Saccharomyces cerevisiae S288C: one gene and its partners. Changing the gene in region 2 together with the main gene of any one other region gives a genetic interaction. Each region holds a gene or a part of one and is shown on either strand. Other genes may lie near its edges. The genes, in order: CYM1, MAS1, SMF2 and SMF1.

The links.
Region 1: mutations in MAS1 (region 2) and CYM1 are lethal when combined (synthetic lethality), as found in Saccharomyces cerevisiae (3 studies listed by BioGRID, with this or other methods).
Region 3: of MAS1 (region 2) and SMF2, extra expression of one rescues a mutant of the other (dosage rescue), as found in Saccharomyces cerevisiae (one study listed by BioGRID).
Region 4: of MAS1 (region 2) and SMF1, extra expression of one rescues a mutant of the other (dosage rescue), as found in Saccharomyces cerevisiae (2 studies listed by BioGRID).

The regions. Positions count from the first base shown.
Region 1 is NC_001136.10:1,323,735-1,332,855, reverse strand, and holds CYM1 (pitrilysin family metalloprotease), read left to right. Parts: upstream 1-4,385; coding exon 4,386-7,355; downstream 7,356-9,121. Other genes in the region: GPI-anchor transamidase GPI17, read right to left, coding at 15-1,619; mRNA-binding protein NPL3, read right to left, coding at 2,829-4,073; TIF35 (translation initiation factor eIF3 core subunit g), read left to right, coding at 7,555-8,379; BNA7 (arylformamidase), read left to right, coding at 8,617-9,121. UniProt on the Saccharomyces cerevisiae protein: Degrades mitochondrial transit peptides after their cleavage in the intermembrane space or in the matrix, and presequence peptides; clearance of these peptides is required to keep the presequence processing machinery running.
Region 2 is NC_001144.5:487,995-495,123, reverse strand, and holds MAS1 (mitochondrial processing peptidase), read left to right. Parts: upstream 1-1,869; coding exon 1,870-3,258; downstream 3,259-7,129. Other genes in the region: pseudouridine synthase PUS5, read left to right, coding at 1-630; protein SHH4, read right to left, coding at 735-1,241; RRT15 (Rrt15p), read right to left, coding at 4,530-4,718; YLR162W (uncharacterized protein), read right to left, coding at 5,195-5,551; YLR161W (uncharacterized protein), read right to left, coding at 5,783-6,127. UniProt on the Saccharomyces cerevisiae protein: Catalytic subunit of the essential mitochondrial processing protease (MPP), which cleaves the mitochondrial sequence off newly imported precursors proteins. Preferentially, cleaves after an arginine at position P2.
Region 3 is NC_001140.6:203,755-211,373, reverse strand, and holds SMF2 (divalent metal ion transporter SMF2), read right to left. Parts: upstream 3,721-7,619; coding exon 2,071-3,720; downstream 1-2,070. Other genes in the region: CIC1 (Cic1p), read right to left, coding at 1-526; COX6 (cytochrome c oxidase subunit VI), read right to left, coding at 1,223-1,669; YHR050W-A (uncharacterized protein), read right to left, coding at 1,729-1,899; FSH1 (putative serine hydrolase), read right to left, coding at 4,181-4,912; YHK8 (Yhk8p), read right to left, coding at 5,223-6,767. UniProt on the Saccharomyces cerevisiae protein: High-affinity manganese transporter involved in manganese uptake from the extracellular environment.
Region 4 is NC_001147.6:86,772-94,627, reverse strand, and holds SMF1 (divalent metal ion transporter SMF1), read left to right. Parts: upstream 1-3,208; coding exon 3,209-4,936; downstream 4,937-7,856. Other genes in the region: 60S ribosomal protein eL18 RPL18A, read left to right, coding at 226-337, 785-1,233; 40S ribosomal protein eS19 RPS19A, read left to right, coding at 1,778-1,797, 2,188-2,602; HRP1 (Hrp1p), read right to left, coding at 5,180-6,784. UniProt on the Saccharomyces cerevisiae protein: High-affinity manganese transporter involved in manganese uptake from the extracellular environment. Also contributes to cellular accumulation of other divalent metal ions such as cadmium, cobalt, copper, iron and nickel.

The DNA of each region.
Region 1 (9,121 bases), on a different chromosome or scaffold from region 2:
GTTTAGTTATCAACTCATAATTCATCTTCACCATCAATAGCATGTAATTTTTGAGCCTCTTTCAACTCTAATTTTTCTTTAGCAACTTCTCTCTCGGTTCCATTCTTTTTACTCTTTTGATTCTTTTCCTTCATCACGTTGTAGAAACCAAAGAACATGACTGCCGATATTGGGCCTAATAAAGGTAAATACACAGCTATCATGTGCTCTTGTGGGAAGAAATTTTGTTGAACCATTTCTCCATTGAAAAATGCCTTTTCGCATAGTTTAACCAATTCATTACTTAGATGCAGGGCATTGTTCCAGACGATATCTCCACCCTTTCCAGGATCATTTAATAAATCAATAATCTGTAGCCTTAAGTCTAAAGCTTCGATAACATTATCCGATACTTCGCGTGGGATAGACATGCCCTGAAATTGTTGAGTTAATTTCACTAACGACCATAATGTTTCCGTAGCTTTATCTAGATTCTGTAAAATTGTCAACCTTTTGAATGAATCTATGGTAATATAAGGTGATAACAAATCTTGCGAGCCCTCCGTTAATCCCAATAGTTGAAAAATATCTGTCGCAAAACGGTACATCATAGGTTCTAAATAATCTTCGCTAATGACTGAATTTGGCTTCAACGGCATTTTATTTATTATTATAACCCCCCATTGAGGAACTAGATAACTATTCCAATCTAATGTGGTTATTTCGTCTGAAATCCGAGTGCCATTAATGAACGCCAGACCATCGGGACTTGAAGAAGCACTAGGAAAGACTATGGCTAAATTCAGTGCAGAATCTTCTGGGTAATAGGCCATTGAAGAAAGTTCAGAAAGATCAATAGTATGAGAGAGATCAAACCACGTAACGCTTGTACATGATCCATTTAATGAATGCAAATTCAAATCATTATGATAAACAATGGATGAATCTACTGTAAAATTTACCAGTGGTGATAAGAACTTCCTAAAAGGTGAAAAGTAGTCAGTTAATGTAGGCTCAATTTCCCATGCAACAGGATTCCCATCACCTGACAATAAAGTTACACTTAAATGAATGTTTGGATCATAAGATATTGCGACATCGTTGTTTGTAGAAACGCCTTCACACGTTTTATTCAAATGCGTCCATTCCAATTGGAAAGTGTGCTCTACCAATGTTTGAGCAACAAAAAACGGTAGATCATTACTTAAAACGGCAGCATCGTCGTAATATACTAGTGTTTCTTTGGTGTCGTAAGCTGATGAGTAACCAATAAATTCGTCTAACTTCAAAGTAACGACATGAAACTGGTTGCCTTCACTTTCCATCTGCTCAATAGTCTCATTATATGGAAGAACTTGTAAAGACCAAGGGACCCGTTGCTCCTGAGAATTCAATAAATGGTTAACTTGTACTTGGATAGCGTCATGAACGTCAGGAAATCTGTAAGTATCTGACTTAACATACACCGGTATTACGAGATGAATATCTTGGAATTTGTTATTTTGAAGTGACTCAATGTAATTTATTGGTAGTGATGCTCTATAAACTGTAGTTAGCTTGTACCACAGTGGAACACCTAAAAAGAGATAAATGGCAACAAAGCAAAAACCAACCCATTTTCTTAGATTTGCATTGGACATTATTCTGGCGTGTAATCCTTATCAAAGAGCGGCTCTTTTATCGTTATTTATCCCTTATTAATATTAATGCACACGTACACACTTCAATTAGTACACGAGTTCCCTTTTAAACTTTGTATCTCTGTTATTAAGCTCCACGTAAGGACATCTTTCATTATTTATAACTTCTGGATTACACATCATTTAATACGTAACACAGATTTAACAGGCCATAATAGTACTTATTAGTTTCTTCAACTTAACTTTATAGGAGTTCAAATTCTTTGAAATTAGCCTGACCCAAACTAACAACTATATTTGTAGCTTTTTGCATACTCAAAGGACTAAGATGATAGGATATTGTATATATTCAATTGCACCTCTTAACTGGTACTTTATTTCTTGTGAATGTTCGATATCTTACCGCTTATTCTCTCATTCCATATGAGAACTCTCGTATAGAAAGGGAGACCTTTTTTCACTTGAAAAATGACAATAAGATATCCAAAATAGATCGGCTTGGGACAAAAAAATGGTTAAATTACAAGATTTCTGTAGTTTCTCAACTTTCTAGTATTAATTGGGGGAGGGGAAACTGGTCTACTGCTAGATCAAGTTTCCACTGAGTTATCTCACAAGATAACAAAAAACGGGGTTCATTATCAGTATAGTCAATTATATTATCCTGCCCGTATGTTGAAGAGGAGATTCTCGTTAGAAACTTTAAGTAAAACTTATTTTTGTTAATTTTGCAGCACATTCCATTCAATAAAAGATAGTTTGGTGCAGGGAAATAAAAAAAATTGAAAGACACATAAGAATCTAGAGGTAGTAGTAGTAGTATTACACGAAAGAAGGTCTAATTAAAATCCAATACAGAAGTTTTAACGACTCATCAATTTGGAAATGAAATTCCGTTGTAAAAAGGATGTTAAATGTTATCATGGGATTATTCTATCTACTGGAGTGAAGTCGGGACTCGCAATAAACAATTCTGTTTTCAATCATATACTTTGGGATCTTCTAACACTAAACTTATTAATAAACAAAAACTATACTTAATAAAAGGGAGGGGAGGGAATGGGGAGGAAGTTCTTCAAAAAAAAAACTTTTTCAACATTTAATACGATGTTTTCCTTTTTCATTTGTTCTCAGTCTCATATTTAAGTTTTAAAACAATTCATATCTTTTGTTAATTTCTCCTTTTTTTTTCTCAACTATATAAATGGCTTACCTGGTTGGTGATCTTTCACGTGGAGCATCTCTGGTTCTGTATGCATCTCTTGGAGGACCATAATCGCCTCTTGGACCATCATAACCACCTCTTGAACCACCGTAGCTACCTCTTGGAGGACCGTAATCATTTCTTGGACCACCATAGCCACCTCTGGAATAACCACCTCTTGGACTATCGTAACCACCTCTAGGACTATCGTAACCACCTCTGGAGCCACCATATCCGCCTCTGGAGTAGCCACCGTAGCCACCTCTGGAATAGCCACCGTAACCACCTCTTGGACCACCAAATCCACCTCTGGGGCCACCGAAGCCGCCTCTGGAGAAACCGCCTCTGAAGCCACCTCTGAAGCCGCCTCTGAAGCCGCCGCGACCTCTGAAGCCACCTCTATTTGATCTTCTGATTGGTGGAGGATTGTCATCTCTTTCAACAGTAATGACAGAACCTCTGAATTCAATATTGTTTAATCTCTCCAAAGCTTCGACCAAGATTTCTTCACTAGGGAATTCTAGAGCACCGGTACCATCAAAATCTCTGGTATTGACGCTAGAAAAAGTAGTTTCTAAACTATTTTCCCTGGCTAAATCTTTAAGATCTTGCCATGAACAACCTTCTGGTAAGTTTTTCATGGTGATACGGTATCTCTTGGCAGGCAATTTAGAGTAAACAACTTCCAAAGGTTGGTTAGCAAAACTCTTACCGTGAACTTCTTCAATGGCTTTGGCAGCGGATTCTGCTTCTTCAAATTCAACAAACGCGAAGCCGTTCAAGATCTTGACTTCCTTCATTGGTCCAAATGGACCAAAGATTTCATTCAACTCGGATTCTTGAACGTCCAATGGGAAAGGTCTAACAAACAATCTGGTGTTCGAGAGTTCTCCTTCTTGACGGTGGTGCATTGGTGGGCGACCGTGCATGTGTTCACCTGGAGGAGGAGGAGGATAATATGGTTGGGGTTCAGGTGGTTGGTGGTGCTGGTGGGCCTCTTGGTAGTCTTGGACACTGTGGGATTCTTCGCCTTCATAAATTGGAGCATTAGATGGTGGAGGAACGTCATTTTGTTCTTGTGGAGCTGGTGGTTCTTGTGGAGCAGATTCCTGTGGAGCAGATTCCTGTGGAACTTGTGGTTCTTGTGGAGCATCTGGAGCCTGTGGTGGTTCTTGGTGCTGTTCTTCGACTGGGGCATCGACAACAGATTCTGGTAGTTGCTCTACGTGAGTTTCTTGAGCTTCAGACATTATCCTTATGGTTTTAGCGTAATTGCTTAATTTTGATTCCTTCAAAAGTATATATATTTAGAAGAGAGGAAATTATTTTTCTCATGTCCTTTTTAAATCCCTTTGGGTGGCGAAAAAAAAGAATGTAAAAAATTTTGCCCTTCGTTTACAGTGATAAATATACGGAGGGGCTCTATGATAAAGGTAGTAGTAAATCATTGAATTGTTGAACAAGCATTGACAGATATGATAACAAGCAATTGTAATCAATAAGCCACCAATTAGAAGGCTACTCAAAAGAATAAAGTTACTATAAAATATACTGCGGTATATATGTTGCGGTTTCAGCGATTTGCGTCCTCGTATGCCCAAGCACAGGCCGTTAGAAAATATCCAGTTGGAGGTATATTCCATGGTTATGAAGTGAGAAGAATTCTACCGGTTCCGGAGCTGAGACTCACTGCGGTAGATTTGGTGCACTCCCAGACAGGAGCCGAGCATTTGCATATTGATAGAGACGACAAGAATAATGTGTTCAGCATTGCTTTTAAAACCAACCCTCCAGATTCCACTGGGGTCCCTCATATTCTAGAGCATACAACGTTGTGTGGGTCTGTTAAATATCCAGTTAGGGACCCTTTTTTCAAAATGCTAAATAAATCTCTAGCTAATTTCATGAACGCTATGACAGGTCCAGATTATACATTTTTTCCCTTTTCCACTACGAACCCTCAAGATTTCGCTAATTTAAGAGGTGTTTATTTAGACTCCACCTTGAATCCGCTACTTAAACAAGAAGATTTTGATCAGGAGGGTTGGAGGTTGGAGCATAAAAACATCACAGACCCGGAGAGTAACATTGTTTTCAAAGGTGTTGTCTATAACGAAATGAAAGGTCAAATATCAAATGCCAATTACTATTTCTGGAGTAAATTTCAACAGTCTATTTATCCTTCCCTGAATAACTCCGGCGGAGATCCTATGAAAATTACAGACTTGAGATACGGCGATCTCTTGGATTTCCATCACAAAAATTACCATCCCTCCAATGCAAAAACTTTCACGTACGGTAACTTGCCATTGGTGGATACGTTAAAGCAATTAAATGAGCAGTTCAGTGGTTACGGGAAGAGAGCTCGAAAGGATAAGTTGTTAATGCCTATTGATTTAAAAAAAGACATAGATGTCAAGTTACTGGGTCAAATAGATACTATGCTTCCACCGGAGAAGCAGACAAAAGCCTCAATGACGTGGATTTGTGGAGCGCCACAGGACACATATGATACCTTTTTGTTAAAAGTACTGGGGAATTTATTAATGGATGGCCATTCTTCTGTAATGTATCAAAAATTAATAGAATCAGGAATTGGTTTGGAGTTCTCCGTAAATTCAGGTGTTGAACCAACTACAGCAGTAAATTTGCTAACTGTTGGTATACAGGGCGTGAGTGATATTGAAATATTTAAAGACACTGTAAATAATATTTTTCAAAACCTGTTGGAAACAGAACATCCTTTTGACCGCAAGCGTATCGATGCCATAATTGAACAATTGGAATTATCTAAGAAGGATCAAAAGGCTGACTTTGGACTTCAATTACTCTATTCTATACTACCTGGTTGGACAAACAAAATCGATCCTTTTGAGAGCTTGTTGTTTGAGGACGTTTTGCAAAGATTTAGAGGTGACTTAGAAACGAAAGGTGATACTTTATTCCAAGATTTAATCCGTAAATATATCGTTCATAAACCTTGTTTCACGTTTTCCATTCAGGGATCTGAAGAGTTCTCTAAATCTTTGGATGATGAAGAACAAACAAGACTGAGAGAAAAAATTACTGCCTTGGATGAACAAGACAAGAAAAACATCTTTAAACGTGGTATACTGTTACAGGAGAAACAAAATGAAAAAGAAGATTTATCCTGTTTACCTACCTTACAAATAAAAGACATCCCAAGAGCTGGTGATAAATATTCAATCGAACAGAAGAATAATACAATGTCTAGGATTACTGATACCAATGGTATCACATATGTCAGAGGTAAACGTTTACTAAATGACATAATACCCTTTGAACTCTTCCCATACTTACCTTTATTTGCTGAATCGTTAACTAACCTAGGGACAACAACAGAATCCTTCAGTGAAATAGAAGATCAGATAAAATTACATACGGGTGGTATATCAACACATGTAGAGGTTACATCTGACCCTAACACCACAGAGCCTCGCCTGATTTTCGGGTTTGACGGATGGTCTTTAAATTCGAAGACCGACCACATTTTTGAATTCTGGTCTAAGATCTTACTAGAAACTGATTTCCATAAAAACAGCGATAAATTGAAAGTTCTTATCCGCTTATTAGCATCTTCAAACACATCTTCTGTAGCAGATGCCGGTCATGCATTTGCAAGGGGCTATTCTGCCGCACATTATAGATCAAGTGGAGCTATAAATGAGACCCTCAATGGTATTGAGCAACTACAATTTATAAATAGATTGCACAGCTTGTTAGACAATGAAGAAACTTTCCAAAGAGAAGTTGTCGACAAGCTAACTGAATTGCAAAAGTACATTGTTGATACCAATAACATGAATTTTTTTATCACCTCAGACTCTGATGTTCAAGCGAAAACAGTAGAAAGCCAAATTTCAAAATTCATGGAGAGATTACCTCATGGCAGCTGCTTGCCCAATGGACCAAAGACTTCAGATTATCCTCTTATTGGATCCAAATGTAAACATACTTTGATAAAATTTCCTTTCCAGGTCCATTACACATCCCAAGCTTTATTGGGTGTGCCGTATACACATAAGGATGGCTCTGCACTTCAAGTTATGTCAAATATGCTAACATTCAAACATTTGCACAGAGAAGTCAGAGAAAAGGGTGGTGCTTATGGTGGTGGTGCTTCTTATAGCGCCTTAGCGGGTATTTTCAGTTTCTATTCCTATAGGGATCCTCAGCCTTTGAAGAGTTTAGAAACCTTCAAGAATAGCGGGCGTTATATACTGAACGATGCCAAGTGGGGCGTCACAGACCTTGATGAAGCTAAATTGACAATATTTCAACAAGTAGACGCACCTAAAAGTCCCAAAGGAGAAGGCGTGACGTATTTCATGAGCGGTGTTACAGACGATATGAAACAAGCAAGAAGGGAACAACTCTTAGACGTATCTCTCCTGGACGTTCATAGAGTCGCCGAAAAATATCTACTAAACAAAGAAGGGGTGAGTACGGTCATTGGACCTGGAATCGAGGGGAAGACTGTTTCACCAAATTGGGAGGTGAAGGAACTGTAGATATATAATTTAATCCTGTAAATATACTGCTTCAAAGTTTCTTGCCGATCTATACTCATCGCTTGTAACGAAGTTAAAATTTTTTTCTTTCACTGAGTGTGGAAAGTGAAAAATTATCACGATGGCAAAAGAGAGGGAAGAGAAGCCCTAGTTACTCGCTGTATTGAAAGGATCAAAAGACCAAAGACCACCAGGAATAATGAGTGAAGTTGCACCAGAGGAGATCATAGAGAATGCAGATGGATCTAGATCTATCATTACATACAAGATTGAAGACGGTGTCAAGTATAAGATTACTCAGAAAGTAAAAGAGGTTAAAGTATTGGAAAAAGTCCATAAATCTGTTGCAGAAAGAAAAAACTGGCATAAATATGGCTCTGAAAAAGGGTCTCCAGCAGGTCCAAGTGCTGTTACAGCAAGATTGGGTGAAGAAGTAGAATTAAGATTGAGTAGGAACTGGAAACAAGCTGAAGAAGAAAGAATACAAAAAGAAAAGGCAAGTCTCACAAAGACCGGTCTACAATGTAGATTATGTGGTAACGACCATATGACCATGAACTGTCCATTCAAGACAATTTTAAGTGAACTTTCAGCATTAGAAGACCCAGCCACTAATGAAGGCGGTGTCGAGGCCGCCAGTGAAGAGAAGGCAGGCCAAGTTGGCGGAGCTGGTTCCATCCCAGGGCAGTATGTTCCACCTTCTCGTCGTGCTGGTGCAAGAGATCCTTCATCCGATGCTTACAGAGACTCTAGAGAACGTGATGATATGTGTACTTTGAAGATTATGCAAGTTAATGAAAATGCCGATGAAAATAGTTTGAGAGAAGAGTTATTGTTCCCATTCGCACCCATTCCAAGAGTTTCTGTCGTTAGAAACAAAGAAACAGGTAAATCAAGAGGTCTCGCCTTTGTTACCTTTTCGAGCGAAGAAGTTGCCGAACAAGCTTTACGTTTCTTGGATGGTAGGGGTTATATGAATTTAATTTTACGTGTTGAATGGTCCAAACCTAAGGTTAAGGAATAGATGCACAGAATATGCTCTGCACTTGTTTTCTAATGTTACTCTTCTCATATAAAAATTGTAGATATTAAGAAAGAAAGTATGTAAACTAATCAATCTATACCTAAAAGAATATTGTTCAATATTCTATAAAGCACGCACGGCATGGTAAAATTTTTAACGATTGTAAGATTACAACAAGTTGCAATCCATTCAAGCTAAAAAATCAAAGCAAGGAAAAGCTCAGAGGCTGTCGTGAATATGTCAAATACCGTAAGAGCCATTTCACCAGATATAACACTATTCAACAAGACATTGACATTCCAAGAAATCTCACAAAACACTAGAGAGGCTGTCATATACATTCATGGAGGTGCATGGAACGATCCTGAGAATACGCCCAATGATTTTAATCAATTAGCCAATACCATCAAATCAATGGATACTGAGTCAACGGTTTGTCAATACTCTATAGAATACAGGTTATCACCAGAGATCACAAATCCAAGAAACTTATATGATGCTGTGTCAAATATAACAAGGCTTGTTAAAGAAAAGGGATTAACGAACATTAATATGGTGGGACATTCCGTTGGAGCTACCTTTATTTGGCAGATATTAGCTGCACTCAAAGATCCTCAAGAAAAAATGAGTGAAGCGCAATTGCAAATGTTGGGACTTTTGCAGATCGTGAAGAGAGTATTTCTATTGGATGGTATATACTCGTTAAAGGAACTGTTGGTAGAATACCCAGAGTATGATTGTT
Region 2 (7,129 bases):
CCACTACTAGAAAGATTCAAGGCTATTTATTATTCACATAGAGAAGTAGAATTATGTCGTACTGTACATAGGTTAGACCATTGTGTTACGGGGGGGATGCTGATTGCAAAGACTAAAGACGGAAGTGTAAAATTCTCTAGATTTTTACAAAAGGGCGGCAACAACGGTTATAAGTTGCAAAGAAAGTATGTAGCTATTGTCGAGTCGTCCGGTCGTTTCAACAAACCAAATAACTATGAAATTAAATATGGTCCTAAATATAATTTCTTGATTTCACATGGTGGTAGGGAGATTACTAAGTTCAAAGAAGTTGACGAAAATTGTATTGTTTTACAATTGGTTACAGGAAAAAAACATCAGATTCGAAATCACGTCTCTCAAATTTTAAATCAGCCCATATTAAACGACAAGAGACATGGCAGCACTGTCAATTTTCCAGAGTTGTTCAATGACCAAATAGCGTTGCATTCAGCGTGCATAATAACGAAAATTGGCCTGCAAACTAAAACGCACTTGATACCTATGGAACACAATAATACTGGCCAACTTTGGTCAAGAAAATACGTCAATGAAGAGGGTGAGTTCACTTTGCCCATAAAAGAAGTCCTGTTGGAAAACTGGGACCAGTAAAATAAGCAATAAATAATCGGTTATTAAATTATTTCTAATACACATATATAACGAGAATAAAAAAGGTAGTCACCACTAACCAAACCATATTGATTAATTGATGATTACTGCCTCTTTTTTTCCACAGGTTTGTTATCCCATAATGATTTTAAAGAGGCAATAAGACCAGCTTCTTGACTCTCTAATTTATATATACCGACGAACGATAAAAAGGAGCCCAAGCTCAATAAATACATCGCGTAATGATGTACCTTTCCATAGACTCTTTCAGAAATATAGTCTATAATGCAAGACTGAAATCCGATATGACAATGACCTAGCAGGACCAAGGAAAGAAATGTGTCGGTAAAAGTGGAAATAGGGCCTGTAGTGACCAAGGGAACTGCGATCAGCGGAAGAACCGCTAAGGACAGTCCGCGCTCGACAATCCAATGGTACGAACCCTGAGCTCTGCTTTCGGGCGGCATATAAGAGGAATCATTTGCGGTCCCACTCACACCTCCAGGTTTCTGTGGAATCTTTGGCAGAAAAGGAATGGTAAAGGATCTGGCAATTGAAGTATGAAAAGCCCTTATTCTGCAGAGTGGTTTCAAAAACTTAGTCGATGACATTCCTACTTTCCTAAGAATTGGGGCAACCTTTTTGAGAATCGTTGCTGATTCATTAGAACTGATAAACGGTCTGTCCACTGGGGACTGAAAATATATAGGTTTGCTTCTATGAAATTCGACGTCAAAATTAAGGGATACCTATGGCCAGCGCCCTTCAACTGACGATTTTTAGTTATCATACGCGTCCCTTATTATCTTAAACCGTAATAAAAAATCGTTACTTCGGATAAGGGTACTCCAATCTGGATGTGAGAGTCTGATAGTACCATGTTAGAGCCGCGTTGAAGGTGCGAATCAGGGTTTTATTCTCCTTAAACTTGATCCCGTCCAAAGGAGTTAAGAAGTAAAATGCACGGCTTTACTAAGACTATATTTACGTATTAAATTCCTCAACACGTAGTGAGGAAAGCTAAAATGCTGAGCTTAATTTCTCAGCCAACAATGGGTGATACTACTGTTCAGTGCACAGATTAGATGACCAATATTATTTTCACGTATTTAGTGATATTCGTAATCGAGCTGGACTCATCTCTTTAGTAATAAGAAGTGAATTTGAACGCTATGGATAAATCATGATATCTTGCTCTCAGGCATCAAACTAGTGCGCAAAGTGATAGGTGATCATACAATGTTTTCAAGAACAGCATCCAAGTTCCGTAATACACGGAGGCTTTTAAGTACAATTTCCTCACAAATTCCAGGAACCAGAACCTCTAAACTTCCTAATGGGTTGACAATTGCCACAGAGTACATCCCCAACACATCTTCGGCTACTGTTGGAATATTTGTCGATGCTGGTTCTAGGGCAGAAAACGTAAAAAACAATGGTACAGCGCATTTTCTAGAACACTTGGCTTTCAAGGGTACTCAGAATAGGTCACAACAAGGAATTGAATTGGAAATTGAAAATATCGGATCTCATTTGAATGCATATACATCAAGAGAAAACACAGTTTATTATGCTAAGTCCCTACAAGAAGATATCCCAAAGGCTGTTGATATTCTAAGTGATATTTTGACTAAGTCAGTTTTAGATAATAGTGCTATTGAGAGAGAAAGGGATGTCATCATCAGAGAAAGTGAAGAGGTGGACAAGATGTATGATGAAGTTGTTTTTGACCATCTTCATGAGATTACGTATAAGGACCAACCTTTAGGAAGAACCATTCTGGGTCCTATAAAAAACATAAAATCAATAACAAGAACTGATTTGAAAGACTATATAACCAAGAACTATAAAGGCGACAGAATGGTATTGGCAGGTGCGGGCGCTGTTGATCATGAAAAATTGGTACAGTATGCTCAAAAATACTTTGGCCATGTGCCCAAATCTGAATCGCCTGTCCCGTTGGGATCACCAAGGGGCCCATTACCAGTTTTTTGTAGAGGTGAAAGGTTTATCAAAGAAAACACGTTACCTACAACACATATTGCTATCGCATTAGAAGGCGTGTCATGGTCTGCACCTGATTATTTTGTAGCTCTGGCAACACAAGCGATTGTTGGTAACTGGGACAGAGCCATTGGCACAGGTACAAACTCCCCCTCTCCATTAGCTGTTGCAGCAAGTCAAAATGGTTCTTTGGCTAATTCTTATATGTCATTTTCCACCTCTTACGCTGATTCAGGTCTGTGGGGAATGTACATAGTAACTGATTCTAATGAGCATAACGTGCAGTTAATTGTTAATGAGATCCTGAAAGAGTGGAAGAGAATAAAATCTGGCAAAATATCGGATGCAGAGGTGAATAGGGCAAAAGCTCAGCTAAAGGCAGCTCTGTTGCTATCGTTGGATGGATCGACAGCCATTGTAGAAGATATAGGCAGACAAGTGGTGACCACAGGTAAAAGATTATCACCAGAAGAAGTTTTCGAGCAGGTTGATAAAATCACTAAGGATGATATTATTATGTGGGCAAATTACAGATTACAAAACAAACCAGTTTCAATGGTTGCCCTAGGAAATACATCCACTGTCCCTAATGTATCCTATATCGAAGAAAAACTGAACCAATGACCACGCCGATTTATTAGTAAGTTCATTTCACATCTCTGCTAATTTCTAATTTCTCTTCATACTTGTATAAAGTTCTATGTCAATAAATTCTTGTTCAAATGAGATGTTGCTACATAAAAAATATGAATAGATATCGGCGGCTCTAGTACCCATTCCCCAAAACACGATGTCGGTATATTAACAGCACGTGTATTTTCTTTTTTGAAGGATACATTAATACTTTCTTCCTAAAACTGCACTTATAGTGGGGTGTGAAAGGGCCCTTCCCGTATTCAATATTAAAGCAGCCCTTCAGATTGCAAAAAATGCACAATAAATTTGTTAATATAAGCCACAAGCCAAAAAAAAAAAAGTGATGCAATTGTATATACTTAACATAAAGATTTTAAGTTATCCGTTACCATTGCATACAGAATTATCCAGATAATACTGTTTACTATGCTCATCGATCGTTTCATATTGGTCATTGCCTTGAAAAAAAAGCACGTGAAAAAAATACTGTGAGACCTTTTCTTGCAATATCTCGATCAGATAGCATCTGTAGCTTTCCATTTAGCTGAACACATCACACTGATCTGATAAACACCATTATATCTTCGGTATTATTTACTGAATTTTCCCTTATAGCAGCAAGGGAAAGCAATAATAAACGTGCTACTAAAAGTTTTTTTAGTCATCGCTCAATGGAGGTCAGCACAATACTGTGTGATTGGTCATAATAATTGCATTGTAGAATATCTGCCAATGAATATGTACCTACCTCTTCATATCTCTGAGCAGTAAATACCTCTCGATTTCGCTGCTTTTTCGCCAGGAACATTAAGCTGTGCAAAAAAATAAATCTTCGACTTCCTATATCCTGCAGCAGCACCAGTTGAAAACAACTGTAGCCAGAAAAAGTCAACGGACCTGAAATATAAGCTGATAAACTACCTTCTCATTCGTAAAGTACTTAACAAAAAATAATGATGACCTTCCAGTGTAGAAGTTTATCATAGGGAAGGAAATTCAATTCGAGAAATACGATTCTAATAACTATGGAACTACCCTTAATTAGTCCTAAAAAGATTGATTACGCAGACAGTATTTGTGTTACCCGCCCTTTAATATTCGTCCAAAACGGTAAAATAGGTAGATAGGACAGATGCAGAACTCATCAGGGGTAACACCATAGAATCTAGAAATTGAACGTAGGGTAACTCTAATATTCAATCCATATATAGGTAAAAAGAAATAAACATCACGTGATATGTAATACCTCTAATGCACTACTACCTTCTGTTCATAATACAGTTTATGTAAAAACAATAAATTTCGCCAGGAGAGTTTGGCTGGGGCGGCACATCTGTTAAACGATAACGCAGATGTCCTAAGGGGGACTCATGGAGAACAGAAATCTCCAGTAGAACAAAAGGGTAAAAGTCCCCTTGATTTTGATTTTCAGTGTGAATACAAACCATGAAAGTGTGGCCTATCGATCCTTTAGTCCCTCGGAATTTGAGGCTAGAGGTGCCAGAAAAGTTACCACAGGGATAACTGGCTTGTGGCAGTCAAGCGTTCATAGCGACATTGCTTTTTGATTCTTCGATGTCGGCTCTTCCTATCATACCGAAGCAGAATTCGGTAAGCGTTGGATTGTTCACCCACTAATAGGGAACGTGAGCTGGGTTTAGACCGTCGTGAGACAGGTTAGTTTTACCCTACTGATGAATGTTACCGCAATAGTAATTGAACTTAGTACGAGAGGAACAGTTCATTCGGATAATTGGTTTTTGCGGCTGTCTGATCAGGCATTGCCGCGAAGCTACCATCCGCTGGATTATGGCTGAACGCCTCTAAGTCAGAATCCATGCTAGAACGCGGTGATTTCTTTGCTCCACACAATATAGATGGATACGAATAAGGCGTCCTTGTGGCGTCGCTGAACCATAGCAGGCTAGCAACGGTGCTCTTGGCGGAAAGGCCTTGGGTGCTTGCCGGCGGATAGCAATGTCATTTTGAGTGGGGATAAATCATTTGTATACGACTTGGATGTACAACGGGGTATTGTAAGCAGTAGAGTAGCCTTGTTGTTACGATCTGCTGAGATTAAGCCTTTGTTGTCTGATTTGTTGGCACGAGCCGGCGGGAGCGGGCTCATACTAACGAAGACGAACCAAAAGATACACAGTAGCGGGACGAGAGTCTCGCAGCTGTCTGGCGGGCGGCGAAGTGCGGGTAACGCAGTAGCGGCGCTGTGGGCGCTGCTCGAGCGTTCTGGCAGAGAGGCGGTCCGGGTAAGCGTGTGCTGCATCGTGGCTCTCAGGTCTGTTTCGCTGGTCTGTGAGCGCTGCGTGTGCGTGTGCGTGTGCTAAGACGGGGTCCGGGTAACGTGCTTGCGCGCGGAAAAAAAAAAAAGATTGCAGCACCTGAGTTTCGCGTATGGTCACCCACTACACTACTCGGTCAGGCTCTTACCAGCTTAACTACAGTTGATCGGACGGGAAACGGTGCTTTCTGGTAGATATGGCCGCAACCGAAATAGTTAGGTGTGGCAGCCGTACATATGGAAGCCGGGCGATGGCTCCGCCACGTGCAAAGTGCAGGAGCTTTGGAAAGAGCGTGCATATAGTGATGAAAACAGAGAGCACGGTTGCGAACGGAGGGTCTCACAATGTCTCAAAGGATAAATCTCTTGGTTTGCGGGCCGCATACAAGATATGATTGTAGTTTTTTCAATGGCTCTACTGTCCCACTGCTGTACAACAGAAAATGAGAGATCAGAGAAATAGTATTCCGGAAGCCAGTGGTGTTTACTTATTAGTTTTTTGACGCCACTGCGCGAGTTGCTGCCTAGCTGTTCCTTGGCCAACGCATATTGGAACTTCATTCGACTGATATGCTTACTCAGAGGTCCATTACTTCAAGAATTGTCTCACCTATCGGGCTTGGCGTTTGTACAAGAAGAAACTTTCATCACCTTTGTTTCGCCACCAAATGAAAAAAAAAACTTGCATGGCTTAGGTGGTTCTTTGTCAGAAATATCTTCTAAGGATCAAGAGTCTTACGTGATTCTAATCCCTTGGCAAGTCAGATCTCAAATATGCTCACTCGCAGATGAGTAGCAATGAATGCGACCAAGTGACTAGTGACTGGTGACGACATGAGCCAAGCTGGAACCAGCAGCTTTCACGTCGGCTTATAGCTCTCTATGGGGCAATCAACCACTCATAGTGACTGAAGATCTTTTTAATATAATTACATTGCTAAAAACGTCATACCGCCTTGTGAGCACGATAAACAGCATATGCATTGAGCCTTGTTATTCTTCGGAACTGGGGATAGTAAAATGCGACCCGCTTAGGATGATCAAGCTATCTTTGGGACGGAGTTTTGTCATGGGAGTGGTCATCCTACTGGTGATGCTTCAACATTTGATTTACTAAATTTTGAAATCGGCCGCAGAATAAAACTATTATGTCCAAACAATTGATGGTCGAACCAACGTTAAGGGTTTCAAGTATTGAATTGAACTTTTATGAGTTCTATAATTTCGTTGCGCAAATTCAACTAAACCACCAATATCCCCCCTACAACGCTACACTTTATACCGATAGAGGAATAACGCATAGAGCCTTCGTAGAATTCTTCAACTCGTACGTGATGGGGATTCTAAACCTATCGTCATGTCGCTGTACAAGGCTGCTGCCTGCTTTCAAATTCCCAATTTTACCATGTCCGTTTCGCTGAGCCGAATCGTCACACAAGGTAATTAGTTCTGGGTATCGCTTCAGTATAGCACTGGTTTTTTCCTTGTAAAACCACAGTCTAACAATTAAATGAAGCTTTTCGAAGAAATTAGACCATGTTAGACTGAAAGCAAAGACTCCGG
Region 3 (7,619 bases), on a different chromosome or scaffold from region 2:
GAGATATAAAAGCGTTTCTAGCCTCATATGCCTTGTAAACGGTCTTTAAGTCTTTCCCGCAAATGATTTCATCAACCTTGATTCCTTCTGAATCTAATTGATCAAATAAATCATCTTCTGAAACTTTCTTAATATCAGAATCCTTCAAAATTAATAAAACTTTGAAATCCTTAACCGCTGTTGCACTGGCTTCTTTCCAAGGCTTGTAAAACGAATGTTTGACATTTAGTAATTTCAATTTGAATGATTTGGAAGTACCGGTGAATGATTTATTATTTACTACGATTAATTGCAGATCTTTCTTCAATTCTTCTTCATCATCTTCCAATAGGTTTTTCTTACCGTTATTTCCTTCTTCATTATTTTCATCTTGTGGCTTGGAAGTGAATTTTATAAGCTCGTTGACAGCTTTAATAACTCTTTCCCTAGGAATGGCTGTGGAAGATTTCTTTTCAATAACCTTCTTCTTTTCTTTGCTTGGTGTACTTACAGGCGTAGATTTCTTTGAGTTACTCTTTTTAGCCATTTTATACTTTATAGTCTGGAACGTAGGTTTATCTGCCTGCTGTCTAATATTTCTTATAAAACAGACACTATTCTTTATGCAGTATACAAACGCTTTTTGTTACTTTTCAAAATTTGCGATGAGCTCCAGTGGAAAAATTTTTTTCAGGAAATTGTCTTTAATTTTTTTAGTATGAAGTGACATCAACTTCACATTTATTGACGCAACGGTGAAGCACAGAATAGAATAGTAATTCTTTAATGGTATATTCTAGGTTTTTGTTTTTTATATAGTTATTTATTGTTTTATTATTTTTCCCATTCTTCTTTCCTGAAATAGAACACAAAAAAGCTACTAACAAAGGATATTAAAGGTAATCTGTGACCAGCCCTCATTACCAAAAATAAAGTTTGTTCAAGTAATAGAGTAGAGAAAACAAAGTGGAAATCATAATGGTTAAATTTAAATATTTTTCTTTTACTTTTCTTATTTCACCTCTTGTGATCTTATCGTTGATTTTGATATATTAGTTTCTGAGTGGATGAATATCCATAAAGGGTAAAACAAATAATAAGGTAAAAGGGAAGAAAAAAAAAAAATAAAAACTAAAATCGTTTTACAAAATAAATACGAATCTTATTTCAAATTGAGGAATTTTCCACAAATAAAAAAAGGACAACAAATTACAGACGTTGTGTGGTAGCTTTTTCCTTATTATTAAGAAGAGCTTGGAAATAGCTCTTCCTTTAAGGGAACGCCCAATTCTTGTCTGACATCCTTCAATTCATCCAAGTAGGCCTTGTATTGGTCTTCATTCTCCACCTTGTATTTCAAAGCCTCAAATACTCTAATTGCGGTAGGTAAGTCATTGACTCTTCTGGCAGCCCTCAAAGCTTTTTCAATAACAGCAGGAGCAGGAACTAAATCATAGGAAAAACAGTTGTTGAGCACTCTTTGCACTTCAAACAAATCATAGGCTTCATCAAACTCCTTTTCGTATCTTGCGGTGAATTCCTCAAAGGTTTCTTCATCATGTGCGTCAGAATACTTCCTACTTTGAATAAACGTATTTTTAGTCAATCTAGTTGCATGATAAGCACCAGGTCTGGCTCTCAATAAAGTTCTATTTATAACTGGATTTCTGAATATGGCCCTTGATAACATTGTTGTATATTTATTAGTTTATGTGTCAAATACAATTGTTCGGCTGTTTATCTCCGCTACTAAGTCTCAGAAGTGATACAATTTTTCAAATTGTAATAATAAATAAGTGTGCTAAAATGTGGATGAAATGTAAAGAAATGAGGTAACCTTGAGATCTGGCACCTTGATAAGCAAGAGCAATTGTTGATCTTTATTAATGCTTTGACCGGACCAATTAGGTCCCTTTTCATAGGGAGATTCAAAGAAAGCTGTAAGCGGCGGAAATAACGCGCGGGGCCCTGATTGGCTCGTATGGAGCGATACGGCCATCAGTATAGCCTAACACCAACTTTTTGATTGGAATTTTCTGTTATTATTCTTGGATAAAATGTATACTTATACTAGTCTAAAGAATTGTTATATTAGAGGTGTACTTCTTTGCCCGTAGTAAAGCCCAGTAACATATAAAAGTTCAGTCCGGAGATAATCAACCATACTATGATTGCGAGCACGGTGACGATCATTCCATTGCTCATGTCTTTGTATTCTGGAGCAGGAGAAACTAAGCTGCGCTCCTGTGAGCTGCTGCCTATGCCCATTTCTTCGAGCTCAATGGTCTCATCATCTTCGGTTCGGTCGGCCACGGGTTTTTTGTCTGTAGTTCTTGAAAGTTCTTTGGTACGGTTAAGCTGTACACGCATAATCTTCTTGCTTGAAGTGAAGTAAAGTAAAGGTGCAGAAACAAAAGGCAGCAAGAGAGAAAGTACCACTTGGGAAGCATTTAGTGCACCAGAGAGGCCGCTACGTCCAGCTACAAGCACTAAAATCAAACAAGGCGTGATGGCTACCGCTCTTGTGGCGGATCTTCTCAATGCCGGAGAAACAGTCCAATTTAAGAACCCTTCACTAACCATTTGTCCACTCAACGTACACACGATACCGGCACTCTGTCCTGAAAACAACAATGCCAGCACGAATACCGTTCCCGCTCCCTTGGAAAGAGTACTACAGAGTAAGTTGTAAATAGAAAATAAGTCAGCTTCCTCAGCATTTTGAGTGGACCCGTATAGTGTAGCGCCAGACACGATAAGAATGGCACAATTGACAAATAATGCCACCGTGAACAGCGAGATCAGTAATTCCGTTATAGTAAAGTGCAGAGTTTCACTGATGGCCTCATAGGATGGCCTGTAATTATCGTGATTGTTATCCATATCATTCGCGTCTGGCAAGTAATGTCCGTTTTTGATATCATACTCTCTTAATCTTGGTTGAACCACACCTGACCCCAAATATAATGAATGAGGCATTACCGTGGCGCCCAGAATTGCCAGACTTAAGTATAACCCATCACCTTCAAAAACGGCTTTACTGGGTAAGAACCCAGAAAATATTTCTTTGGCAGGTCCCAGTTTGGCATAAAACAGTTCAACAGTAAAGCAAACTACGGTAAGAACCACCAATAAAGAAACAAAAGCTTCAAATATTCTGATACCCTTCATGGAACCGTTAGGTTTGTAAGCTAGCAGAACAATTAAAACGTCTACCACAGTAAGTATCACACCTAGGGCGAGAGGTATATGGAAAAGGATATTCAAAGAAATAGCGGTTCCTACCACTTCTGCCAGATCTGTGGCAATAATTGCCATCTCCGCCAGAATATAAAGAGTAATGTTAAGTCCAAAGGGCAAATGTTTCTTACAATTTTGTGCCAGATCTAGGCCAGTGACAGCACCCAATCTGGCGCAGAGGTACTGCCAAAAAGCAGCCATGAAATTAGAAACTAAGACAGAAAATAAAAGCTTGTACCGATGAGCAGAACCCGCTGCTACAGCTGTACTATAGTTACCAGGATCCATGTACGATACAGATACCATCAAACCAGGACCGATGAACCTAGCATATTTTCTCAATGTTCCGATCATGCTCTGGGATGTTGAGTTTGGCTGCAAAGTTGTTCTTCGACGCGACTCATGAGTGGTATTCACGTCGGCATACGCATCGTTGACACTATCATTATTTGTTTGGGATTCATCGCTCCATTGAATAGGTTCATATTCTTGGGACGTCATCAAACATAAACGCTATACGGAAAATTAGTGGTTAAATGGCAATAGAGATGTGCTAATATTAGTATCAAAACAAATAGTTGTTGAAGAGGGTTTTCTAAACGGTTAAACGCGTTTGATGGTTAAATGACTAGAAGCAAAAGGAGACTGATTCTGAAATTTAATATGATTTCTTTTTTTTCTGCTGTTTCTCTTCTGCATTATTTTCTTCCTTCGAGAAAGAGTATAAGTATGTTTAAAAAGGTCTTCGTAAGCCACGCTAAAGCACCCCGGGTGGATTTTTCGCGCCGGGCGGGGTTAGCAGCACGCAGGATGGAAGAGAAGAGAAAGGATGCTACAAACTTGTGGTTCATTCTATACAAAGTACTTATATGTATATATACATACTCGATCAGCATTTCACTCCACACACCCTGCGTGTGATAGTAAAAAGCTAGAAAGCAGGTAAGCAACAACCTACGATTTATTCAGAAGCTTCTTGTAAGGAAGAGGTTATTTGTTCAACAATTGGTCTGATAATGTCCTTCTTGTTTGGAACCATATGTCCACCAGGGTGTTCGTAAGCCAACACCTTTTCCTTATTACCATTTTGCGCCTTCAAATAAATATCGTACAGGTACTTGGATCTGACGGATGGGACGGCTTGGTCAGAAGCACCATAGATGAAGATCATCTTGGTCTTCATGTCTGGTTTTACCGCAAATGAGTCTCTGAATTTTTCGGTTATTCTCAATTCTCCAGGATGTTCTGGGTCTGGCTCGGTGAAGGAATAGCCGGAAATGACTACACTTACCTTGAATTGTGGATGGTCTGGAACTAACTCTGAGATCTTGTTGGTGATGATAGAGGACAATGCGGCACCTTGAGAGAAACCGACAATGCCGTCGTATGGGCCATTGGCCTTGATGTGATCAACAACAGACTTCAAACCTTCTGAGATATCCAATTCGTGAGAGATTTCGCTGTGATAGAACCAGGCTCTGTTAACATCCGCATCTAGGGTGGCTTGCCATTTTTCATCATCCATTTCAAATGGCAAGTCCTTCTTTTCTAAAAGGACTGGTGCATCAATATAGTCACATTGGACATTAGCCTTCTTCAATAATTTTCTAATACCAGATGATTTTTCGGAGAAAACTTTACCGTTTTGCAAGAAGCCGTGTAAAAATAATAATTTTGGAATTTGTACAGTCATCCTTCGTTTATTACAAGCTAGAGAGTTTCAGATTTAGCTGCTACTTTTACTAGAAAATTAAGATTGGCCGCGTACATCTGGCATTTTGCACCTTTATGGTTTATATACAATATACATTGCAGCCAAAAACATTCGAAAACTAGAGAAAAAGAAAGAAAACATGCGAGAATATGCAAAAATGAAAAAATGCAAAATTTCTTTTTTCTTTGGCCTATGCGTGTTGCCTTTTGAAGATCCGAAACAATCTATCACCAATGACGTAAGCGGGAAAAGATTATGCAACATCCAAAGGAAAAAATATGCAAAAAAATCAATCATCCCATGCATACGGCGACTTGGCTCTCAGTCGGGCACCGTATTTGGTAAACAGAAATGGGACAGGAATCATCGCTACGGTCACCATTGCCAAGAGAAAGCCGGCCCAATTCACTCCCATTGACTTGTACATCTGGAGTCCGAAAAGAGGGAAGACACCGGCCATTATGCATCTCACAAATGTGTTACAAGCCATTCCAGAAGCTGCATATCTTCTATAGGCATCCACTGTATACGCAAAAACACCGGTAAAGACGAAATAAACACCTGAACCGAAAATTGCACTGCCTATAATTGGTGCAATCCAATGGACATGCTTGTAGCAGGTGAATGCAAAAATGAAGAGCCCAACTGGGGTCAAAAAGGCGCCGTAGAACAGAGGCTCGAATCTCATTTCGGGAGTCTTGACGCCATTATTTCTTTTGACTCTCCACTCAAACGTTTTTTGGAATAACAAGCAAGTAGGAGCCGAGAGTATCATGCCGACCATAATACCGATATAGGAGCATGCAATCTCCATGGGCCCAAAGTTGTAAAGTTTCTTGAACACATAAGGAAACGCTACGAAATATAAATATATTATGGCAAGTTCCAATCCAGTATAGAAGCAAAGCACACCCATCATTCGGTCTCGAAGTAACAGGCCAAAGGGTCTTTTGGTTGAGAGAAAGATTGCGGAAAGTAAGGAAGTCTGTTCGCGGGTGACTTCCAGGACAGCATAATACCGTTGATCATTTTTCTCTTTCCTCAATCTCTTAGCTTTACGTATTAACAGCATTGGTTTGTAGGTTTCAGGTATGGTAAAGATGATCATAACGAGACAACATCCAGAAGTGATGAGAAGTGTGATAAATGTCCATTTATAACTTTGATGGTATAAGGCTCCACCAATGATTGGTCCTAAAGAGGGCCCCAAAAAGGCCGATGTAGTGTATATTGCCATAGGAATACCAATTTGGTCTTTGTCGAATATATCGGCAATGGCGCCGCCAGCCACACTTAGAAAGGCTGAACCAAAAAACCCGGATAGAAATCTGCCAAACATGACACCCGTAATGGTCTTGGACCAAATGGTCAAACACTGCCATATGATACTGAGCGTAAGGGCGTATAAAAATGTGATCCTTCGTCCATATAGTTCACTTAGTGGAGACAGAAATAAAGGTCCTATACCGAGCCCAAACACATAAAGCGTAATTCCCAGAGTGCTGACTTCGTGCGAAATATGAAAGTGTTCGATTATGTGCGTTGAAGGAAGCGTCCAGCTGGACGAGATCATCGTAATTACCATCGATGTGAATGTAATTAACGAGGAAATATAATACCGGCGGGCGGTGCTCATATGCCGTGCTATATCTTCTGGGTCCGCGATGTCCTCGTTGAAGGTCACTTCATGCGATTGTTTGCCGTCATTTTTTCGTTCACTGGTCAATTCCAGATCCAGTTTTGCGGCTTTGTCTGAGTTTATTGAACAATGCTCTTCTTCAGTAGATGTCAATGCCGATGACTGTGCACTCGCTATTTGAAATTCTGCAACCATATCCTGTTGTTATATCTGCATATATATGTTCTTAGTATACAAGGTGATACCATACACCAAATGTAAGGCAAATATGCCTTTATATAGGGTCCAGGTGAACGTAACGCATCTAATAACAAGTGTTATTGCTTGACCTAATAATCTGAGATGGTCGCTTCACCGGTAGAAAAATTCTCTGCGTATTACTAATCTCAACAATAGCCAACACTAAATCCGTAGGACCGGCGAAAAGCGTGCTAATCTCCGCTTTATTGCCGGATCCGAAAGGTGTTTCTGGCATCAAGATGTTATAAATCACGGAATTAAGAGAAGGATATTAAATGTGCCATTGCATTTTATTGATATTTCCACTCACCCAGAGGGATAATAATGATCAAAACAGATATACAATTCAGCTCCACTTTTACCTGCGCAACATGACATTTCCAGAACTAGCTTACAATTCGTACACCGGTTATAATTGGTTTATGGTTTCCAATGTAGGACCAATTTTTAGAGATAAATACTGAAGCAAATATTGGATTTCTTCTGTGTTTCACACGAAGAATATGAGTGAACCATTATTCCGGCTTTTGTTTCCTACAGCAAGATGTAAGTTATCTGGTTTGCTTATTACTTAGAAAAAGGGCTCCTGCTGGTGGAGGTAAATTAGATTATGCACCTATCGGCGGGTTAGCGTTGGGCCGTAGCCTTTTGGTCGCTTGCATTTACCACGTATTTTTTCCTTTCAATTTATTATAAGCTTAGAGATACGATTTCAAGGCGCAGCTCTTCTGTTAGCAGTTTTCTCTACGACTTTGTATGAGGTTCATCTCATTTTGTTAGCTTCTATTCACATACCTACTATAACAC
Region 4 (7,856 bases), on a different chromosome or scaffold from region 2:
ATTTTTTTTTTTTTCTAATTCAGAATGAAATTTTTTTCTTGCTGGAGATTACAGTGGAAATTTCGCTCCAACACACGCACTCTCTCTGACTTGGTGCTGCCGTGAGATTCTGGTTCCTCAAGGAATATTGTATGAGATAATTTAAAACAAATTGAGTTGAAGATTCATCAATTCTGCCATTTTGGATCCATCACAAGAAGAGATCATCAAGCTTACGGATTCACAATGGGTATCGATCACACTTCCAAGCAACACAAGAGATCTGGTCACAGAACTGCTCCAAAGTCTGACAATGTCTACTTGAAATTGTTAGTCAAATTATACACTTTCTTAGCTCGTATGTTCAAGAATAATATCAAGGGTTTTAACCAACGCCAATTATGGTTAGAAGGATTCTGTTACATTGAATATAATAGATTATCCTGAACTTTGGTAAGTTCATTGGTTTTCTATAAATATTCGTTATGGTTTGCTGAAAAATATTGGTTAATGTTTTTCGCGATCATCTAGCTTTGCTTCTGATGTGACAAATTATTGGTCAATTTATTGAACTGAATCTGGCTAAAATAGTCATACCAGAAGAAGCTAGACGTATTAAAATTCTGCGAGTGCAAACGGGTATATTTGAGGAACGATATGTTTCTTTTACATCACGTTTTGTGCGGTATTGCAAACCAGTGAGCAGAATCTTTTTCTAATTTAATGAAATATTTGTACGGAAAACTATTGTTTTCCGGTCCTTCGATCCATTAGTTACTAACATTTTTTCATTTTTTTTTTTTAGGTCGTACTGATGCTCCATTCAACAAGGTTGTCTTGAAGGCTTTGTTCTTGTCTAAGATCAACAGACCACCTGTTTCTGTCTCTAGAATTGCTAGAGCTTTGAAGCAAGAAGGTGCTGCTAACAAGACTGTTGTCGTTGTTGGTACTGTTACTGACGATGCCAGAATCTTTGAATTCCCAAAGACCACTGTTGCTGCTTTGAGATTCACTGCTGGTGCCAGAGCCAAGATTGTTAAGGCTGGTGGTGAATGTATCACTTTGGATCAATTAGCTGTCAGAGCTCCAAAGGGTCAAAACACTTTGATCTTGAGAGGTCCAAGAAACTCCAGAGAAGCTGTCAGACACTTCGGTATGGGTCCACACAAGGGTAAGGCTCCAAGAATCTTGTCCACCGGTAGAAAGTTCGAAAGAGCTAGAGGTAGAAGAAGATCTAAGGGTTTCAAGGTGTAAGTTAACTGAAATGAAAATTTCATATTTACTTTTTTATTGTTACTCATTTGTAATTCATAAACTACATACACTTTCAATCGTTTCTTTCAAACTACATAATTTTTACTGGCGATCAATAACGCATTTAGTTCATAAAGTGAGTCAAAGTTAACACTAGAATATTTGCTACACCATCAATAGGCTAGACCATAGTTGAAAACTTTCATAATAAATTCTTCCGTTTTCAATCTTCATATACTGTGTCTCTAACCATGATACCGTGACACAACTACATCCGTACACATGTGACGTTCGTTCAACCCGTACATTTATATAAAACCGTTCTGGCGGCCTTTTATTTTTTTACATTTCTTATGATCGGGATTGCAGAACGCCGTGAAATTTTTCAATGTGAGGTTCGGCCTTGTTTGCAAAAGCCCTATTGAGATACCGGAAAGATATAGGTGAAATGAAGAAAACTATGGGTTGTATATCTAATACCCCGGTGCGTTTATTAATATTTTAGCTTGAAAGCGAAGTGATACGATCGACAAATAGAGTAAAAATGCCAGGTGTTTCCGTTAGGTACGTAAAAATGACATATCATAATGATTATTACTATATGTTTCGAGTGGTTAGATGGAAATAAAACGCAGTCATTCCAGCAGCATAGACACGCAAGCAAAGTACTTCTTCGTCAAGTTAAATAGCACCCATGGTTAAATCAATGATATATCAACTGTCCCATAATAATTGAAACAAAATATTGATCAAATTTCGCGAATGAGTGCAATGTGTAAATATATGGAAGAAGAGGGAGATTAAGGGTAGTGGTGCTATTTGCTCTTTGTTATTACTAGGATTTCAATTCCTTCCGATAAGTTCTCATGAAACGTAATGGTTAATGAAAGTATTTTTTTTAAACTGTATCATTTACTAACAATAACTTTTTTGTTTTGATTTTGTTTTCTACAGAGACGTTGCTGCTCAAGATTTCATTAATGCTTACGCTTCTTTCTTGCAAAGACAAGGTAAGCTAGAAGTTCCAGGTTACGTTGACATTGTCAAGACCTCTTCTGGTAACGAAATGCCACCACAAGATGCCGAAGGTTGGTTCTACAAGCGTGCTGCCTCTGTTGCCAGACACATTTACATGAGAAAACAAGTTGGTGTTGGTAAATTGAACAAATTATACGGTGGTGCCAAGAGCAGAGGTGTTAGACCATACAAGCACATTGACGCTTCCGGTTCTATCAACAGAAAGGTTTTGCAAGCTTTGGAAAAGATTGGTATCGTCGAAATCTCTCCAAAGGGTGGTAGAAGAATCTCTGAAAACGGTCAAAGAGATTTGGATCGTATTGCCGCTCAAACTTTGGAAGAAGACGAATAAATATAAAATCTATAATTTATATATATATACTACTACTACAATTATCATCATACAAGTAATAATAAAGTTTAAAAGCTACAACGAGGAGGGGAATCCTATTGCGAAGTTTGGTGTCACATGGTTTGAAGAGCCTTGTTAACGCGCTCTTCTCAGTTCTACTTTCTTCTTCAATTTTGTTGGCCGATTTTCTTCTTTATTTGGCTAGCCAGTAATTTTTTTTACTGCATATAGTAACCGCAACGCCAGTAGCTTGGAAGGAGCGTTGTTTAAACGACAGCCGTAAACTTAGAATAGTACAGAGTACTTCTGTAGTAGTAATGCGCGCCAGAAACCAGCTTGCTTAGATGTTAAATCATCGGAATCAATCCTGTTCGCATTCCTGTGCCGAAAATATTTCGACGTACTACGTGGACCCTAGCGTCCCTAAATGCAACAGTTTTTTCTAATTTAGGATTTGTTAACTCCGCCGGGGTGATTTGATGCTGCAATATAAATATACATAGAATAATATTTGGCTGCTCATCATTGTGCGAGCATATTAATATTTCATGAATAGGTAGAAAGATATATATCAGCAGAAAAACTAACTTTCTCAATTAGGTCAAAATGGTGAACGTTGGTCCTTCTCATGCTGCAGTTGCTGTGGATGCTAGCGAAGCCCGCAAAAGAAATATTTCAGAAGAAGTATTCGAACTGAGGGATAAGAAAGATTCTACAGTGGTAATTGAGGGTGAAGCCCCGGTAAGAACTTTTACCAGTAGCTCTAGTAACCATGAAAGAGAGGATACGTATGTTTCTAAAAGGCAGGTAATGAGAGATATTTTTGCTAAATACTTGAAGTTCATTGGACCTGGATTGATGGTTAGTGTGGCTTACATCGATCCCGGTAATTACTCTACTGCCGTCGATGCAGGTGCCTCTAATCAATTTTCCCTACTTTGTATCATTTTGTTATCAAACTTTATTGCCATATTTTTGCAATGTCTGTGTATCAAGTTGGGTTCCGTTACGGGACTAGATCTAAGTCGAGCTTGCAGAGAGTATTTACCACGGTGGCTCAACTGGACATTGTATTTTTTTGCAGAATGTGCCGTTATAGCCACCGATATAGCTGAAGTGATTGGTACAGCGATTGCCTTGAATATCCTGATCAAAGTGCCCCTTCCAGCGGGCGTGGCCATTACTGTTGTGGATGTGTTTTTGATTATGTTTACATATAAACCTGGTGCGTCATCAATTAGGTTCATTAGAATATTTGAATGTTTTGTTGCAGTATTAGTTGTTGGCGTGTGCATTTGTTTCGCAATAGAATTGGCTTATATCCCGAAGAGTACGTCCGTTAAACAAGTGTTCAGAGGATTTGTGCCATCTGCCCAAATGTTTGACCACAATGGTATTTATACCGCTATTTCCATCTTAGGTGCTACTGTTATGCCACATTCGTTGTTTTTGGGTTCCGCTTTAGTGCAGCCAAGGCTTTTAGATTATGACGTTAAACACGGTAATTATACTGTTTCTGAAGAACAAGATAAAGTGAAAAAATCTAAATCCACTGAAGAGATTATGGAAGAAAAATATTTTAATTATAGACCCACGAACGCTGCTATCAAATATTGCATGAAATATTCTATGGTCGAATTAAGCATAACTCTCTTCACCCTAGCGCTTTTCGTCAATTGTGCCATCCTAGTTGTTGCGGGCTCCACTCTATATAACTCACCAGAAGCAGATGGGGCAGATTTGTTTACTATTCATGAATTATTATCAAGAAATCTGGCACCCGCAGCAGGTACGATTTTCATGCTCGCACTTTTATTAAGTGGTCAATCCGCAGGTGTAGTGTGTACTATGTCGGGTCAAATTGTAAGTGAGGGTCATATTAATTGGAAGTTGCAGCCATGGCAAAGAAGATTGGCCACTAGATGTATTTCGATAATCCCTTGTTTGGTCATCTCTATCTGTATCGGTAGAGAAGCTTTATCAAAGGCCTTAAATGCTTCCCAAGTTGTTTTATCCATAGTTCTGCCATTTTTGGTAGCACCTTTAATTTTCTTCACATGTAAAAAATCAATCATGAAAACCGAAATTACCGTCGACCATACTGAAGAAGATAGCCATAACCATCAAAATAACAACGATAGATCTGCAGGTAGCGTAATCGAGCAAGATGGTTCTAGTGGCATGGAGATAGAAAATGGAAAAGATGTCAAAATCGTTTATATGGCAAACAATTGGATTATCACTGTTATTGCTATAATTGTGTGGCTTTTCTTATCTTTACTGAACGTTTATGCCATTGTTCAATTAGGCATGTCTCATGGTGATATCAGTTAATGTCTGCCTCTTACATTCTTGCGCACAATAACATTAAGATTATTTGTAAGCTTTATGACAGCTGTACTTCAAGTAGAGCTTGTGATTATACATTCTAGCATAGTGAAAAAAAAATAATAACTATTCGAAACTAATACACGTACATGTATATATATATTATAAATTGCTTATGCTTATTTAATAGAAGGGTTGTTGAATTATACAAGAAAACTTTTCTCTAGTTTTCTACACTTTTCTTTTTTTTTACCTATTATATGGATGGTAGCCATTATTACGTCTATTGTATCCACCGCGACCACCACGGCCGTTTCTTCTATGGTTTCCACCACTACGGTGATTGTAATCGCGGTCACGATCGTTACGATCACGATCACCGCGATCACGGTTGTAGCCATAACCGCTATTGTGGTCATCATTGTATTGTGATGGGCCCTTTGGACCATTAGGTAAATTCAATGGCGGTGAACCAGAGTCAGTGTTTGATGTATTACCAATAGTTTGGACGTCATTGGATTTATTATTATCGGAATCAGAAGGTGCTGGGGAACCTTGAGTGGCATTTGAATCTTGCTGTGGTTGGTTTAAAGTCATTGCATTAGGTGGCATGGCAAACCCTGGCATCATCATTGCCATTTGCTGCATTTGTTGTTGGTACATTTGAGTATAATCCATACCAGTTTGCTTTTGCATTTGTTGGTAATATTCTTGCATCTTTTGATAGTAATCTGTCATTGCTTGCGGATTCATCATTGGGTTGTAACCGCCCATCATAGGGTTTTGATACATTTGGTTGAAATCGCCTTGGTTACCGAAGTTACCGCCACGACGATTCATGTTGTTTCCACCATTGTTACCACCATTGTTTGATGATTTTTGTTGCATATGTCTTGGCTCAGCTCTCTTGATTTCGATCTTGCGATCTTTGAAATCGATGAATTTATTCTGACAAACTCTGTCAACGGCGTCAGCGGAGTCATACGTCACAAAACCAAAACCTCTTGATTGACCGGTATCCTTATCTAACATCAGTTGCGCATCGATAATCGTACCCCACTGAGAAAAAAATTCTTCAAATTCCTTTGGTCTCACATCAGGACCAATACCACCAACAAAGATTTTACCGGTTTTATCTTGCTCGTCTCTTGGGATAGCTCTTTTTGGGTCGATAACTTTACCATCGAGGATATGTTGTGTCTTTACCACTTCATCAACACTAGAAGGTTTTTCAAAAGATAAGAAACCGAACCCTCTAGATCTACCTGTTGCAGGGTCTTTCATGATTTTCAAATCAGTGACGGTACCATACTTACCAAAATATTCGCGAAGATTATCTTCCGTAGTGTCCCAATTCAGACCACCAATGAACATCTTGCAACTTTCTTTAGACAAATCCGCTTTCGAACGTTCCTCTTTGGTTTGAGTTACTTGCTGTTGAGGTGGTGATTGAGAAGATGGTTGCTGGAATTGTGACATGGTTTGTTGAAGTTGTTCCCAAGGTAAGCCAGAAGGTCCTGCAGAACTAGCGTTGGCATTGGCATTTGCTGATGTAGCGCTTTCTTGTTTTTTTTCATTCTTAGTGTCTTCATTGGAACCTTCCTTGTCATTCGCAGTGCCATCTTGCTTACTAGAAGATGTGTCTTGGTTACTATTATTACTACTACTGTTGTTACTATTTGGATTATTTAGTTTGTTCAAGCTAGAAGATAATGCTTGTAGTGCGGCTAGTTGATCTAATTGCGAGGTACCACTGCCAGCCTTATTTTGTTCTTCTTCTTTTTTGACTTCTTCAGTAGTGGTAGGCTTATCATCGCCGTAGATGTCGTTGAAATCTTCTTCGTCAGAGCTCATTGCTTATTTAACTTATTCTCTATTTTCTCAGACTTGTGTATACTGCTAAAGTTCTTTATAAATAAAATATTTGCGTCTTTTATGAAAAGATTGTAATATAAACAGTAATATTAATACAGAATAAAAAAGGGCCAATTGTTTGTATTATGCACGCTTTTTCAATTTCTTGTTTATTGAGTATACCTTTTCTGTCCGTATTTTTTCTTTTTGTTTCTTTCGCAAAAAAGGTTAGAAAGAAATCTAGTAAGGTATGAGATTTTAGTTATTAAACACTAAAAAGTAAAAGATACACGTAAAAAATTTATAACAGTATATTGTACTAATACTTGACTATCTGCAAAATTAAATAACTAGTCGAAACTGTTCAATCCTTTGTTTTTAATTACAGTGGCGGAAAGGAGAGAGCGGAAGAAAATTTAAGAGCGCCTGGGCGTGTGGAAAGCATGCGCCTTTTATACTTTTTTTGCTTTGTCCAACAAGAAATCTCGGCGCTGCTCGTAGGGAGGGGCTGCAAGAAAAAAAATAAATAAAAAAAAGAAAGTATTTCCGGGTAAGATTAAAAATGCATTCGATTTAGCCGCCCAGTATTTCGCAAGATCTTCCAAGGTTATAGATGTTTAGAAGAGAAAGAAGTTGGGATCCTTAAGAGCATGTTTCTTTTTCCACGCATCTACATTAGGATTTACTCTTTGTTTTTCAACTTCTGCGCAAGATCTTCAAGAACAAATCGAAGAGATAAAAAAATTGATATTTATAGTCAATAGGTTTTCGATAGCATGACCCTCCGGACTTTTGATGGATAGATAAAGCGAAATTTAGAGGGTTTTTGATCTTCTTCCTTGCAGCAACCTATATTTCTTAGTATTTTGTATATCAATAGCCTCCATAATGTTATCTATAGCTATTAGTACTTTAAGAGACTTTTATTACCCGTATTTTGGATTCTTTTCCGAAGAAAAAAGAAATGTTTACGTTGTGGGAAAAGTGAAAAAAATCGATGATTATGGGCATCGAGGTCTTAATACCCGTAATATGGAGATGAAATAGCATAACTAAACACATTGTATATAAG